Regions from separate parts of the Mus musculus genome. Here region 1 is reported to be linked to region 2. The links are microRNA targets in miRTarBase. Many come from high-throughput screens and were not tested one by one. Region 2 holds a microRNA gene; the other region holds the end of a gene's coding sequence.
The links. The annotated mature microRNA mmu-miR-212-5p reads ACCUUGGCUCUAGACUGCUUACU and lies in region 2 at 4,552-4,574, shown strand. An mRNA with a match to its seed (bases 2 to 7 or 8) in the 3' UTR can be bound and repressed. Matches are read on the target gene's strand: a 7mer-m8 pairs with bases 2 to 8, a 7mer-A1 pairs with bases 2 to 7 and ends in A, and an 8mer does both.

Region 1 (7,103 bases), not on the chromosome of region 2:
TAAGCTCCTGATGGAGAGGATTAGGATGGAACGCAGGACCACACCCCAGGTCTGCTTCTGCTAAATGCCATTGCAGTATCCAACACTGTATGTCTAAAACAGCTGCACTCCCAACCTTGGCTTTGCCTGTCAGCACACTCCTGTGCCCTAAGTCTCACCCCTTCTTCATGATGGTTGGACCCTCTGCCCCACCCACTGAAAAGCCCAGTCTTTCTTGAGGATAGCCATATCTTCAACCCCATCCACTCAAAAGCCTCTCCCATTCACAGACCCCTTGTTCAAGATGGCTGTCTACTTAGTGCCAACTATTCTCCTTACCCACAGATAATAGGATCAGGTGGAAAGCTCTGCCCTGGTTTCTGTCCCTGTGGGGTTTGCTTCTGATGGGCTGTGGCCTGAGCCTGGCCAGTACCAGGTAAGGCTTCCAGACATGGGCTTTGGCAGCTAGGCCTTGGCTGGGTGGCCTCAGGGCTCAGAAAGTTCATGGATTCTAGCAATATGTTTGCCACCAGGTGCCTACAGGCCAGGTGCTTACACTGGCGGCACAAGTTGCTTCCCCAGTGGATCTGGGAGAGGGTTCCTGATCCTGCCAACAGCAATTCTGGGCAACCTTACATCAAGGTGAGAAAACGGCACCCCTGGGAGCACCACTCTCTAACTGGGAGCACCACTCTCCAACTGGAGGATGCTGGGGCAAGTGGGAGGGGAGGAGCACTGAGTTTCAAGCTTCCATCTCCCCAGGAGGTGAGCCTGCCCCAACCGCCCAAGGACGGACCCATCCTGGAGGTGGAGGAAGTGGAGCTACAGCCTGTTGTGGAGTCCCCTAAAGCCTCTGCCCCAATTTACTCTGGGTATGAGAAACACTTCCTGCCCACACCAGAGGAGCTGGGCCTTCTAGTCTGATCTGCTTACGGCTAGGGGCTGTACCCCTATCTTGGGCTAGACGTTTTTGTATTTTTAGATTTTTGAGACAGGATCTCACTATGGCTGGCCTGGAACTTGATATAACAACCAGGCTGGCCTGGAACTCACCAAGACTCACCTGGTTTTGCCTTCCAAGGACTGAGAAGAAATGAGTGTGCCGCCTCCCGCCCAACCAGCTTTTGCTTTCCTTGCCTCTGGGTCTTGGGCATCTGTTTGTTACTGCAGAAGAATCAGTGAGCTCACAGCCTCAACCCCATCGTTGTTATTTCCTCCTTGTGTCACAGGCTTGCTAGGTAGCCAAGGCTGGCCTCGAACTTGTGATCCTCCCTGCTGCAGCATCCCCAGAGCTGGGATTACAGGTGTGCGTCACTTCATCGAGTCATAACTTTTGATTCTAGTAAGAATAACTACCAGGCAGGCTATGAGGTGGTGACTCGAAAGACACATTCAAGGGCCTGAAGTGGTTAAGAGCCTGTGTTTTCTTGCAGTAGACCAAAGTTTGGTTCCCTGCCCTTGCAAAGGACACACGTTCAGTTTCCAGCACCCACAGGGCAGCTCAGAATCACCTGTAACTCCAGGTCCAAGGAATCCAATGCCCTCTTCTGGCTTCTGTGAGCCCTGCACACACATGGTTACTTATGCACCGAAAAACACACGCATAAAATAAAAATAAATAAATAAATAAAAATAAATTAATAAATAAATCTTTTTTTTCTTAAAGCCAGAGTGCCTTAACATTTAATTTTCAAGTATAAAGGCTTCATTGCAGAAGGGAGTCAGGGCCACAGGCAGTGGGCAGGGAATCTAAAAGCACAGGGCCCTCCGGCTCCTGGGTGCCACTACCAGTCCTGTGGTACCCTGTCTATGCCTGGGACCTTCTGCTGGGTGCCAGGCAGCGAGGTAGCTGTGAGAGGAGGAGTGGGGTGCTGGCGGCAGGCGTAGGCTCACATGACCACACAACACTGGCACGTCTTCTGCTTGGGACCACTAGCTTCTTTGGCCTCAGCCAGCTCAAGCTGCTGGGCAGGGGCATACGTAGGTGCAGGGTGGTCACCAGGGTTAGTGCTGGACGCTTCCTGATGGAGCAGTGGCTGGCTTTCCACAGGCTGCTCCGGGGCTGGGGTCTCAGCTAGGAGCAGGGTAGCATCCCCTGGGGGACCCTCTCGCTCAGTACAGGGCTCAGGCTTACTGGCTGCCCCTTCTACCAGGCCTTCTTGCTTCTCTGGTTCTTGCTGTCCTTGCTCCTCTGACCTGGGCTCGTCCTGGACACAAACAGTGGCTCCTGGTGGGCTGGCATCCTCCGCCTGGAACTCTGCTCCTTCGTTGGCTTTGCCTTGCTCTTCTGGACTCACATCATCCTTGGCGCCTGAGGTCTTGTCCACCTCAGAGAATGGCTCGATGCCATCTGCCTCCCTGTCCAATAGTTTCTTACTTCCTTCAGCTTCTTCATCCAATGAGCCCTCACCTCCTGTCTTCTCATCTAATAGTTTCTTGCTTCCTTTAGTTTCATCCAATGAGCTCTTATCTCCTATCTCTCCATCCAATAGTATCTCAGTTGTTTTTGATTCTCTGTCCAATGAGCCCTCACCATCTTTCTCCTGGTCCAATGGCATCTCACTTCCTTTTCTCTCTGTCTCCAGTGAGCCCTCTGGCTTTTTTTCTGTCACCAATGGCTTCTCAGTGGTGACCGGCTCTGCCTCACCTCCCTTTTCTACTTCCAACGACTCTTCACCTTCCGTCGTTTTCACCTCCCACTTTTCCTCATCTGTTGCTATCTCTGCTGGAAAGGGGCCCTCACTGTCTTTTCTCTCTACCTTTTCTGCCTCGTTTTCCTCTCTTCCCTGGGTCTCATCTGGCAGCACAGCTACACCATCCTCCCTCTCTGCCCCGAGCTTTTCTGCCCTTCCCTTCTCTTCTATGCCCTCAACTTTCTCTACTTCTCTCTTCTCTACCTCCCAGGACGCTTCACCTCCTCTGGGCTGTGCTCCAATCAAAGCCTCAGGTTCTCCTGCAGACCCTGCCCCCTGCGGTGCTTCCAAACCCTCCATCAAAATCTCCTCCCAGTCTTCGCTGAGGGCCACTCTCTCCACCCAAATGAAGGATCCCTCCTCTACTCCAGGACCTCCCTGCCCAACACCCTCAAGACTATCTCTGGAAGCACCTTCTTCTTTTCTGCAAGTTTCAGCCTCAAATTGCTCCTGGAGTCTCCTGGAACTGGTGTGTGTGGCCTCTGCATCCCTGCCTGACTCCCCTGTGACATCAAGATCCCTGCCTCCCAGCCCCTCCCAGACCACTTCCACTACACCCCTGCCCTCCTTCACCCAAGTGGGGAGCTCAGGGCTGCTGGTGCCCTGCCTGGCCCCAATGGCCTCCAGAACCACTTCTTCCACCTTAGCCTCCAGCTCCACATCTGTGGGGCCTGTGGCACTGTTCTCAGTGGCTCTAAGCCCAGCCCAAACCACCTCCACTGCACCATCTCCTTTGGCCTTAGTGACACTCGACACCCCTAGACTCAGCTGCTCTGGGAGAGGGCTGTGCCCAGGGCAGGGGCCATTGGCTTCTGAAGATGTCCCTATAGCTTCAGTGGATGGCCTCGAGGCTGGTAGAACCGCAATCGACTCCTCCCTGGGATCAGAAGGAGACTCAGGGGACATGCCCACTGGAGCATCTGGCAGGGAAGTTCGCTTGTCCACATCAGTCGGGGCTGGGGGAATCAAGGGAGGACGGGACAGGGAGGTCAGGATGATGGGGGAATAACAGGACCCTTACCCCAGATTCTTTTGAGTCACATGATCTGGTGGTGACGGTACCCCAGGTCTTGGGGACTCCAATGCTTACCGGTAGGAGCTGCTTCCATGGCAGACTGAGAGAGAGGACGGGGACCCTGCAAGGAGAATAGAGACAAGGTCAAAATTGGTCCCAGGTTGTACTTCCCAGGTATGTTTGTGCCCCACCCGCTTAAACAGTATATCATGTTAGTGCTTGCATGGACAGCTTCTGAGGTGACTATAAAGTATATCATGTTAACAGTATATCATGTTAGTGCTTGCGTGGACAGCTTCTGAGGTGAGTATAAAGTATTTGGGGGAAGGAATACTTGGGATGGAACCCAAGCCCTGGGCCACACTAGGTTATTGCAATATTGCTGTTGAACCACATCCTCAACCTGTAAAGACCTGATGCAATCAGACTTTAAGTTCCAATGGGAGGAGGTAAGTAATAGACATAACAACAAATAAATAAGCCGCGTTTGCAAATAGTTAAGGGGAGAGAACAAAGCGGTGAAAAGGAAGAGAGGTCTAGGGTGAGGAGGTTTCCCCTAGAGACTGAGCTGGGCGTGGCTTCAAGAGGCTTGCCGAGAAGGGTGTGCCCTGTCCAGAGTGCTGAGTTGGAGACCATTGTTCGAGGCTAAGGCTACAGTACTGCCCGGGTGAGCCAGACGTTAAAGGGAATAATAGAAGAGAGACAATGTGGCCAGCGTGGAGTGAAGGAAAGATGTGAAGAAAGACGATGGGGCAGCTGCACACACCTGTATTCACACACCTGCATGCACACTAAGTCCCTTTGTGATCAAGGCTTGGTGGTAGGAACCGGTAATCCTACCACAAGGAAAGCTGAAGCAGGGAGATCACGAGTTCAAGGTCGCGGGCTTCGAGATTGGGCTAATTGCTTTCAATTATAATCTCACTGGCCCTTCCAAAGGCACTTCTGAGTTGGTATTCCTACTTTAGGGATGAGCAAACTAAGATCTAGCCAAGACAACCAACTTGCACAGAACACAGAACAAAGTAACAGTGAGTGGGTTTGCCTACCATTCTCTACCAAGGCAGAGGCTGCGTTTTGAGAGAGCACATTTCCGCTGTGTCCTGTTCTAACCCTGCTGACCACAGCCCCCTCCTCTCCACCTCTTTCAGGCCCTGCTCACCTCTCTGCGCCAGGCGGGCCTACCAGCAGGTCTGTGTTGAGCACCTGTGGACGCACTTTGCAACAGCTGTAGCTGTGACTGGAGTCTGAGGGAGAAAGGAGGCTGCTGGAAGCCGGAATGGACCAAACCTGCTCCATTTCTTAGAGCTGCTAAAGGCTGGGGCATGGCTCAAAATCAGGGATTCTCAACTCACGAAAACAAACTGTCTTCCAGGTTGCGAATTCGAGCCTGGGCCTGTCCCTCAGGCGACTGTGGGTCCTTGGAGGCGGGTTCCTCCGGCCGTTCTGGCCCTTCAGCTGCCCCGTCCATGAGCCAACGTTCTCGGAGAGATTTCCTCTGGGTATGGAACGAGAGTCCGGGACTAGCCACAGGAAGCCTACCTCCCCACCCATTGCTTGCAACCACCCAGAGGGCGCATCCATCAGGATGGGAGACATGTCCATATCTCGTACCCCAACACCATGCCAGCATACAGCCTTCCCAAGCAGAGGCATGCAACCATTATCCTTCCAGCCTGCCCAGTCGACTGGCTCTGCTAGGCTCGGAAAGACCTCTCAATGTGCCCCTCTCCACCCCAACGTTGGCCTCAGGTTCCTCTCATCACCACCAAACTGGGATGAAGCTCACCACCATCCTCCACCCCCGCCCCCCATACTCTTCCAGAGTGGGACAGCTGTCTCCATGGCTACCTTTCGCCTGCCTCCTCTCCATCTCCCCCTTCCCAAATTAGTCAGAGGTTCCTATTGTCTTTCAGCCGGACTCACACAGACACCCCACTTCACTTCCCCGGACTGGATAGGAGCCCCCAACCTTGAGCCGCTCCACGCGGAGTTTCTCCTCCTCCAGCTCGCGACGCGCGGCGCCGATCTCCTCCTGCAGCCGCCGCTTCTCCTGCGCACACACGACCCAGAGCTGCGGGCTAGTCCAGGGCCGCCCTCCGCCCGCCTCCTCGGGGCTCCCGGGACTCCCGGGGCGTCCTCCCGCGGGCGGGGGCTGCAGAGCGCTGACTCAGCAGCGAGAGGGGCGGGGCGGGGCAGGACCAGGCGGCCGCGCCCTCATGCTGCGGAAGCCAGGCCCACGCCCAATGGTGGTCCGCAAATGGGGGCGTGGAGGCGGGGCCTAGAGATGGGGACTAGGGTTTTGCACTTCTAAGATAGGAAGGAGAATGGCCAGGCGAGGCGAACGCGCTTGGTAACCCCAAGACTCAGTAGGACGATCTCCATGAGTTCCAGGCCAGCTTGGACTAGAAAGGGAGTAGCCAATTAGAGGCTACTTTGGGCTACAGAAACCCTGCTGGGAAAAAAAAAATCGTTAAAAAGGGGGGGGGGGGTCAGGGATGTGTTGATCTAGATAAAGAGAAGGTGCTAGCGAGATGGAGTCCAAAATGGGGGTGCAGAGGTAGACATCCAGAGAGATTCAGGCATATATAGAGGTAACGCAGAGATAGGGTACAAAGATATGCAGTAAATCAGGGCGCAGGTTGTGTTGAAAGACATGACCTTCCAAGGTGATTGTGCAGGGTACCCAAGAGCACTGCTTAACGTTGAGGTGCTGAAGAGAGACCAGAAAAAATGGGAATGGGGAGGTGGAGAAGTTAGAAAGGTGGGCTACAAAAGAAAGGGTTAGAAAAAGGAGGTTACAACAGGTGATCCGAGACTTAGGGAACAGGGGCAATTCAGGGTCGAGGTACAGAAGTGGCTACAGAAAGGTGGGTTGCTAAGAGTGCCAAAAGAGGAGGTACAGACCATGGAAGCCAGAGAAACGGAGCACAAAGGCGGGGGAGAATAAGAGGGGCAGGTGCAGAGTGGTGGAGTCAGGGTTCAGAGGTGAGGTCTAGAAATGGGTTCTAGAAAGGGTTCTGGAGTGTGGGGGTGTAGAAATATAGAATGCAAAGCATGTTTGGAGAATAGAGATGCATTAGTGGTAGTCAGAAATATGGAGTTCAAAGATGAAGGTGCCAAGAGCTGAGGTCTTCCGGAAGTAGGCTAGTGAGGAAAGGGGTGCAGAGAGGGCAGTCAGAGAAACGGGAGCAGAGGTAAGAGGCACACAGGTAAACAAGAGTAATGGAGGAGAGAGGGGGCCAGAAGGACAGTCTCACAAGGGTTCCCTCAGGGAGGACTCCAAGGGTGGGGTACAAGAAACAGAGATCTGAGCTGGGCGTGGTGGCGCACGCCTTTAATCCCAGCACTCACTCGGGAGGCAGAGGCAGGCGGATTTCTGAGTTCGAGGCCAGCCTGGTCTACAAAGTGAGCTC
Region 2 (7,115 bases):
TCCCGAGTCCTCTAGGGAAGACACTTAGAGCCCCAAACGCCAGCCGCGACCCGGGCGCCCACGCCTGAGGATGCTCCCGAGGTAGCCGGCGCACGAGGACCAGATTGTCCCGGGTCCCTTGCCCTTCCCTGTCGCCAACTCGAGGACCCACCTGGGGGGCATGTCGGAAGCCCCGGGCCCGGCTGCCGGCGGATCCAGGGGGGGACGTGGCTGCAGTGCGCTGCCCTCCGCCCGCCGGGCCCCCGGTCGGTCTGTCTTGCCGGTCCGTCCTCCCCGCGTCCTGGTCGCGTCTCAGCCCCTCCGCGCTTTCCGCACACTCTTATCTGGAGCGGCCCGAACCGGCAGACGCTGCCGCGGCCATGGCGCCACCTCGCGGCCACGCGGGGACTGTGTGCGGCTGGGCTGCGACCTCTGGCGCACACCTGGGCCAAGAGGCTTGCAGATGCGGAGCTGAGCAGATCTTGCAGGTTCGCGCGCTTCCAGATGTGCCCACCTGGAGACTCAGATATCGGACCTGGGAGTCCCATAAACCTGGGGGTTTTGTGCTGAGTGCTCCCGAGTACATATTTATATGTTATATCGCGCCAATTCGGGGGGGGGGAGGGGAAGGTTCTGTCTTCAAATGAGGAACTCTTAAGCCAGGGATGGTGGCGCATTCTTGTAATCATCCTAGCATAGCACCCAGGAGTTGGAAGCAAGAGGACCAGGAGTTCAAGGTCAGCCTCTACTACCTGAGACCCTATCTTAGAAAAGGGGTTGGGGTGGAACACTACGAACAGTATTCTGTGAGAGGGCGAGCTTAGAAATCCTAAGTGAGATGAAGGTACATACGTTCGGAGCAGGAGCGGGGCGGCTTTTATTAGACATTTCTGAACACCATTATTCACTTGGACTCAGTGGAGAGAGACACATTCCAACTCTCCCTCAGACACATGTTATCAGTATGCACATCATAAACCGTCCACACTCAAACTCTGTCCAAGCAGTGACAAGGGCGCGCCATGTTTACACAGACCGCCCACCCCCTCCCGGAGTCCCAACTTCTTGGGCTACTGCGGAGGCTACTACGTGAAACGGGGTAGAGGTCCTACCAAAGAGCCCTCCCCGAACTTGCGGGTCTCCAGAAGGACCCTAGAGCCCTCCATTGGAAATAGCTGGACAGAGCCCCCTTGCGACGTGCCCCTCAAGTCCCCAATCCCCCATCTAAGCAGTTTTGAGGGATCTTAGTTTGCCCCCCCCCAATACACCATTCGAGAGATATCACGAGAACGGGCGGCTTGAGACCCCCTCAAAAAAAGATCCTACACGCCACACAAGGGAGAGCTCATTCATGTTGGTGACTCCTCTTTTAGGAGGGAGGGGAGCGTGCACCAGCTCTTGGGTGCTCACCGGAAATGTCCCTGCATAGCGGGGCGGAGGCATAAGCACCGTTGCAAGCACCGCGCCTCCGTGGCCCACGCTCCGCCTCTTCCCCGCACCTCCTGACCCCCGCCCACGCTATAGGGGGGGTCCCCCCAAACCGCCCACAGCTTCTTATTGGCTGCGCCATCCTCCGTGGCCAAGCCGGAGAGGCTGGGGCTCAGAGTTACTATGGTAACCAATGAGGTTCCCGGGATCTCATCTCTCAGAGGCCTTGGAGAGCTTAGCAACCGCGCGGGGCGCAGGGCGGGTGGGGGCTACGCTCGCCGCACCCCACGCTGTCTTCGAGCCCCCACTCCCCCGCTTGAGGTAGTGGCTGAGTCACTCGCCCGGGGCAGCCGGCCGGGCCTCTAGCTGTACCAGTGAGACACCAAGGTCTTGGGCGCCTCCTAGAGGCTGCGTTTCTTTGGCAGGAGACTTCTATGCCTGGCCTAGGCTTCTGGTCCAAAGAGTCTTCAAGGCTCACCAGGTTTCCGCGACAGTGTGCTCCGCCTCCATCTAATCCACTTACTACTTCGTATCTCCGTACAGTGTCCATACAAGACAAACACTGCAGTCCCACGGTGGACTCCACAATTTCTGAGCTCTAGGAGAAGTGAAGAGGTACCTTGGTATCTCTGTCGAGGGATACGCCTTGGGGCTGAAGCGGAAGTGTAACGGAGCGTTTGAGGATAAGAAGGCTCCCCAGAAGTGCTCTTAGGGATGAGTTTTGACAACTCTGAGTTCTCCCACAAGCAAGGGTGTCTCTGATGTCTCTGTTTTAAATGTTTTCTCCTTTTAATGGGGTTAGATCGTGCGAGTCTGGAGAGAAAGCTCTGTATGTGTTTTACACAATGGAGTTTATCCGCTGGTTGACCCATAAGGAGGTCGGCTGGGTCTTCAGTTCCTTCTTGTTCTATCCCTCTCCACCGACTCAAGCCCTTGTTGTATCGCTATGGGGCCAACCACATAAACCTTGCCCAAGTTTCACTGTGTACTCCCCTCCCCTCCCCTCCCCTTCTCTCCTCTCCTCTCCTCCACGCCCCACCACCACCACCACCACAGTTTCAAGTCTACGGCTAGCCTCGAACTCACAAAGGCGTCTACTTCCCACGTACAAGGATGCGCACCACCATGCCCCTCCTCTTAACTTTGCTTTCCCCTTCTTCCTGAGCTCCTCTGGTCATCCTGGTGCAGCTTCCTCCTCTCCGTGAACGCATGACGACCCCATTTAGAGCCCGGAGACAGAATCGGGCTGTTTTGGAGGACCTGTTCCATATCGTATTTGCCTTTAGTCTATTCTGACTCCTTTAGAAAGGAGTCCCAGCTACACACACCCTCTGCCAAGCTATTGAGCCCCCTTAGTCTCATTTTCTCTCTTACAGGCTCTGCCTATGCCTATTCCACCCCACTGAGGTGGCCCCCTCGTGCCCCCTGGGGCACTGCCAAGTTGGCTCTCCAGTACTTGTCAGGCTAGCCCTTCCTTTTGTGGATACTCCGTACAGGGATTTTCCAAACTCTTACAGAAGATCTTCTGCTCATTTCTAAAGTCCAGACCACTCTCCTTAGACTCCCTGATCTTCTCTGCGGTTTCCACCATCTGACCGGTACCTTTCCTCCTGTGACCCAGTCAAGAAGCCTTCCAAAACTCCCAGGCTTCTCCACCCCTCTTTCCCCAGCTCCTAGATGTCAAAGTCCGAGGTGCACTCTACTCCCCTCCTAAACCGGTCCAGTTTCTTGCCTCACCCCCCACCCCCCCCCCACACACACACCAGGAGAGAGCGAGGATACCACGGTGGCCAAATGGGAGTGATACCATCGCGGGGCATCTTCTGGCGTCAGAGGACTGTAGGGTCTAGGGAATGAGCAGTGTGGTTTGGGGCTGCCAAGGGAGGACCCCTGCGGTCCAGGAGAAAAGAACTGAGATCCTAGGACTCGCAAAGCCCCGGAAGGGGAGAGTGAATAAACACAGAACGGGGCCTCACCCTCCCTGCACTATTCTCCCCCAGCCCGTCGCCTGCAGTTCCGGAAAGTTAACCCCTTGGAGGCCAAGCCTGGGGTTACGTACTCCCCTACCCAACCCTGCTTCCGCGTGCGCACCCTCCTCCCGCTCCAACTCCCTGTCGCTTCGTCCCGCCCTCCCCTACGCCCCCCCTCCCCGCTTGCCACTATAAATAGCCTCTTTTCCCGTTTCCTAAATTCTCTGCTGACGTCGGCAGCGCGTCAGTGTGTAGGAGCCGCGGCCGCATGAATGAGCCGCCGCACGAGTACTACGCGCGCCTATAAAAGCGGCGGCGCCGGCCGGGCTGCGGGAGGCAAGCCGGCACTGGTGCGACGCGGCCCGACAGGTAAGGACCACCAACAGTCGGAGATGGGCAGATGCGCGGACGCCATGGGAAGGCGAGGAGGGGACCGGAGGGGCGGCGGGTTGGAGGGGGACTCCGGAGTGAGGATGGGGGGCAGAGTGGGAGGGACGAAGGTTCCTTTCAGCTTGGTGGACCAGGGGCCGGCGGCTGACCCAACCCTATGCAGCACCTGCCGGCACCCAAATGCAGACGCAGACACTATGGAGAAACATCAAGCGGAGAGCCGAGCCCCCGACCCCATTTCCCGAGGCTGAGCAGCTCCTGCGCCATCCTTTCAAGAAAGTGGGGAGAAGGTGCTGGCGTCTCAGGAGACGCGCCCCCTCATTTCTCCCCTGTCCGCAGAGCGGTGACTCAGCCTAGATGGCCCCGACTGACTGAGCCAGGGCGCCCACGACAGACAGACGCACACCTCGGCCCTGCGGCTTTCTTGGGACCCCCGTCCTGCATGCTCCACACACGCCCCTTCCCTGTCCCGTCCCTTCCCGTCCGGTCCCGTCCCGTCCCATCGGACTGTCCCACTGAGCTCAGGACTTCCCGCCTCTGCAAGCGGAGCTGTCCTCTCAGGACCAGGCGGGGGCGGGGCTTCGATCAGGCCGCCCCGCCCTACCCCCACCGCTCCCCACCGCCGGAAATGCCTCCCCGCTGGGACATCTTTGACGTCACAGGACTCTGACGTCACGGTCGCGTGTCTGTCCGCGCGCGCTTGGGAGGAGGTGGGGGGGCCTGAGAAGCAGCAGCACTCTCAACTGCGGGCGACGGGATATCCCCGCCCGGGCAGCGCGCCGGCACCTTGGCTCTAGACTGCTTACTGCCCGGGCCGCCTTCAGTAACAGTCTCCAGTCACGGCCACCGACGCCTGGCCCCGCCCCAGGACCGCCGACCCCCGGCCCCTCCACGCCTCCCTGCGCCGCTGTCCGCGGTGCTGATGCAGTGCAAGCGCCTCCCTCGGGCACGCCTGTTCAAGGTCCCTGTGGGTTGCGGTGGGCGCAGGCCCCGCAGACACTCGCGCCACCCCCGCCGCCCGCGGTGCTGACGTCAGCCTGCAAGCCCCGCCCCCGCGTCTCCAGGGCAACCGTGGCTTTCGATTGTTACTGTGGGAACCGGAGGTAACAGTCTACAGCCATGGTCGCCCCGCAGCACGCCCACGCTCCCCACCACTCCCGAGTTCTGCCAGCCTGGGTTTGGGCAGATACAGAGCAAGAGGAGGCGGGGCGGCGACGCAACATTCGATGTGTCTGCGGAGGTGGCAAGAGGTGTGCTCAGAAAGGCGGCCTTTCAGGCTGCTGTGCATCTACCTCGGTGCAGAAGCAAGATCCGCGGAGTGTCTGAACATCCTCCTCAGAGACTCTCCTGTCTTCCTAGTCGAGGTATCGCTGCCTAAGGTGGCGAGAAAATGGGTGGTTCTGCGATAAGGATTCTTATCTCATGAGTGGTGAACCGATGGGATCAGGAGTCCTGTGAGAAGGAAGAAGTCACTTTTGCCAGCAGAAAGCTGAAGGGGGAGGAGAAGGAAGTTTTATCACACCTTTCTTCCAGAAAACCCTAGGTGAGCAGGTAGAGGGGAAAGGGCAAAGAATCCCTTTCCTGATAGAGCCATAACTCTGTCCCCCAACTTTCTCCTGGGCCATCATTAAAAGGGTCCTTAACACAGCAAGAAGCTGGCAGGCTAGTGAAATTCACCTGGCCCCTAATTCATTGTCTGAAGGTATCAGCCAGCAGTCTTCCCTCAACTGGTCTGTAAGTAATGCATCCCAACTTGAGATCTTCAAACGTGCCCCCAAAAGGAGTACAACCACAGAGACTGCACGTAAATACTCTCTGTGGCTAGGGCTGTTGAGAGACTCTGTCTGATAGGGTAGAAATCCTGAGTGTAATCAAGATGCAGAAAACAAATAGCAGGGATAATTTGAAAAGAGGACAGCCGGACAGTGGTGGCGCACGCCTTTATTCCCAGCACTCGGGAGGCAGAGACAGGCAGATTTCTGAGTTCGAGGCCAGCCTGGTCTACAAAGTGAGTTCCAGGACAGCCAGGGCTATACAGAGAAGCCCTGTCGTCTCGAAAAAAACCAAAAAAAAAAAAAAAAAAAAAAAAAAAAAAAAAAAGAAAAAAGAAAAAAAGAAAAGAGGACCTTTTGCAGATGGAACCCATCAGAAGATGTGGTTAGAAGGTTGACTATATAATGCTTTGAGTGTTCGTTGTCCTAGAAAACATTTAGTGTAAACCATGCCTTCTTTCCCAACTTTACACATTAGAAAGCAGAAGCCCAGGTTGGGCATTTAGCCTATAGAGAGCGGTAGTTTTTGCTTGCTTTTTACTGGACAGCAGAAAGACCAACCAAAACCAGGAGCTGCAGTGTATACCTGCAGTCCCAGTTGCTCAGGAGCCTAGACAATAAATATGAGATAAATATGAGATTCGTGTCTCAAAGGGGGGGGGGATGATGACAACAGACAAGAATATGGGGCTTTTGAGTCTGAATCATCCAATTTTGAGTAAGGTACTTAGCCTTTCTGTGCCTGTTTCCTCAATTGTAAGACTCAGTTATTAGGTTAATGACAGTACTTTTTCATGAAATTAGACAATGGGGGGGGGGGGGGACAGGGGTGCTGGGCATAGAGCTCAGTAGTAGGTCTGTGCTTAGCATGCCTAAGGTCCTGGGTTTGATCCCAGCACCAAAAATAAATGAGTTAGGCTATGGTAGAGCATGCTCTGAATACCAGATCTTGGGAGACAGAGATAAGTGGATTTCTGTGAGTTCAAGGATAACCAGAACTTCCGTGAGACCCCCGTCTCAAAAATAAGTTAGATGACAGGCTTCTATTTGTCTCATTGTCTGGTATAGTTAATTCTCAATAAATGTTATTTCTACCTCTGGACCTTATCCGCCTGGGCTGTACATAAATGTTAGAGCATTGATTCCTCGGGGGGAGGGGGCTTCTTTTTCTCCCCAGAGGGTTTTGAGTCCCACTAGAGGCTCTTTCCTAATACCACATATTTACCAGAGACTTAAAATTCTACCCAAGACTGTAGTTTGCAAATAGCTACATCAGGAATGACCAGGGGCAGACAAATAGGTCTATAGTTTTCTCTAGGAACTCCAGGTTTAACAAGTGTTCCTTGTGTAGGTGGCCCCCAGGGATGTGCATGTGGTAGTTCATTCCGCATGGTGGGAAGTAACTCTCCACTTGTTGGGACTCGGAACTGTTCTGATTCTTGGGAGGGCTCTTCACTTCAGACATGGGCCCTTCTGTGTGTTCCACCTAATAGAGCTCTGCTTGAACCCTCTCCTCCCTTTTTCCTGGTAGAGCCAGGGCCTACAGACCACTCACATGAACCTTTGCCTTTATTTA

Region 1: miRTarBase lists Il27ra as a target of mmu-miR-212-5p. Seed matches in the 3' UTR shown: 7mer-A1 at 1,056-1,062, 7mer-m8 at 1,221-1,227 and 7mer-A1 at 1,505-1,511.

Annotation. Positions count from the first base shown.
Region 1 is chr8:84,024,831-84,031,933 of GRCm38, reverse strand. It overlaps Il27ra (interleukin 27 receptor, alpha), which reads left to right. Exons shown (of 14, transcript NM_016671.3): 12 at 325-415; 13 at 513-621; 14 at 742-1,648. The coding sequence ends at 903. Palm3 (paralemmin 3) reads right to left here. Exons shown (of 7, transcript NM_028877.1): 3 at 5,660-5,740; 4 at 5,043-5,185; 5 at 4,850-4,934; 6 at 3,763-3,808; 7 at 1,639-3,628. The coding sequence ends at 1,869. Among named protein-coding and RNA genes, the nearest start is that of Palm3, 6.9 kb to the right of the region's middle.
Region 2 is chr11:75,168,852-75,175,966 of GRCm38, forward strand. Mir212 (microRNA 212) reads left to right here and starts at 4,537; the gene lies at 4,537-4,627. It overlaps Hic1 (hypermethylated in cancer 1), which reads right to left and starts at 1,404. Exons shown (of 2, transcript NM_010430.2): 1 at 152-1,404. The coding sequence starts at 668. It overlaps Ovca2 (candidate tumor suppressor in ovarian cancer 2), which reads right to left. Exons shown (of 2, transcript NM_027136.3): 2 at 7,092-7,115. It overlaps Mir132 (microRNA 132), which reads left to right and starts at 4,831; the gene lies at 4,831-4,896.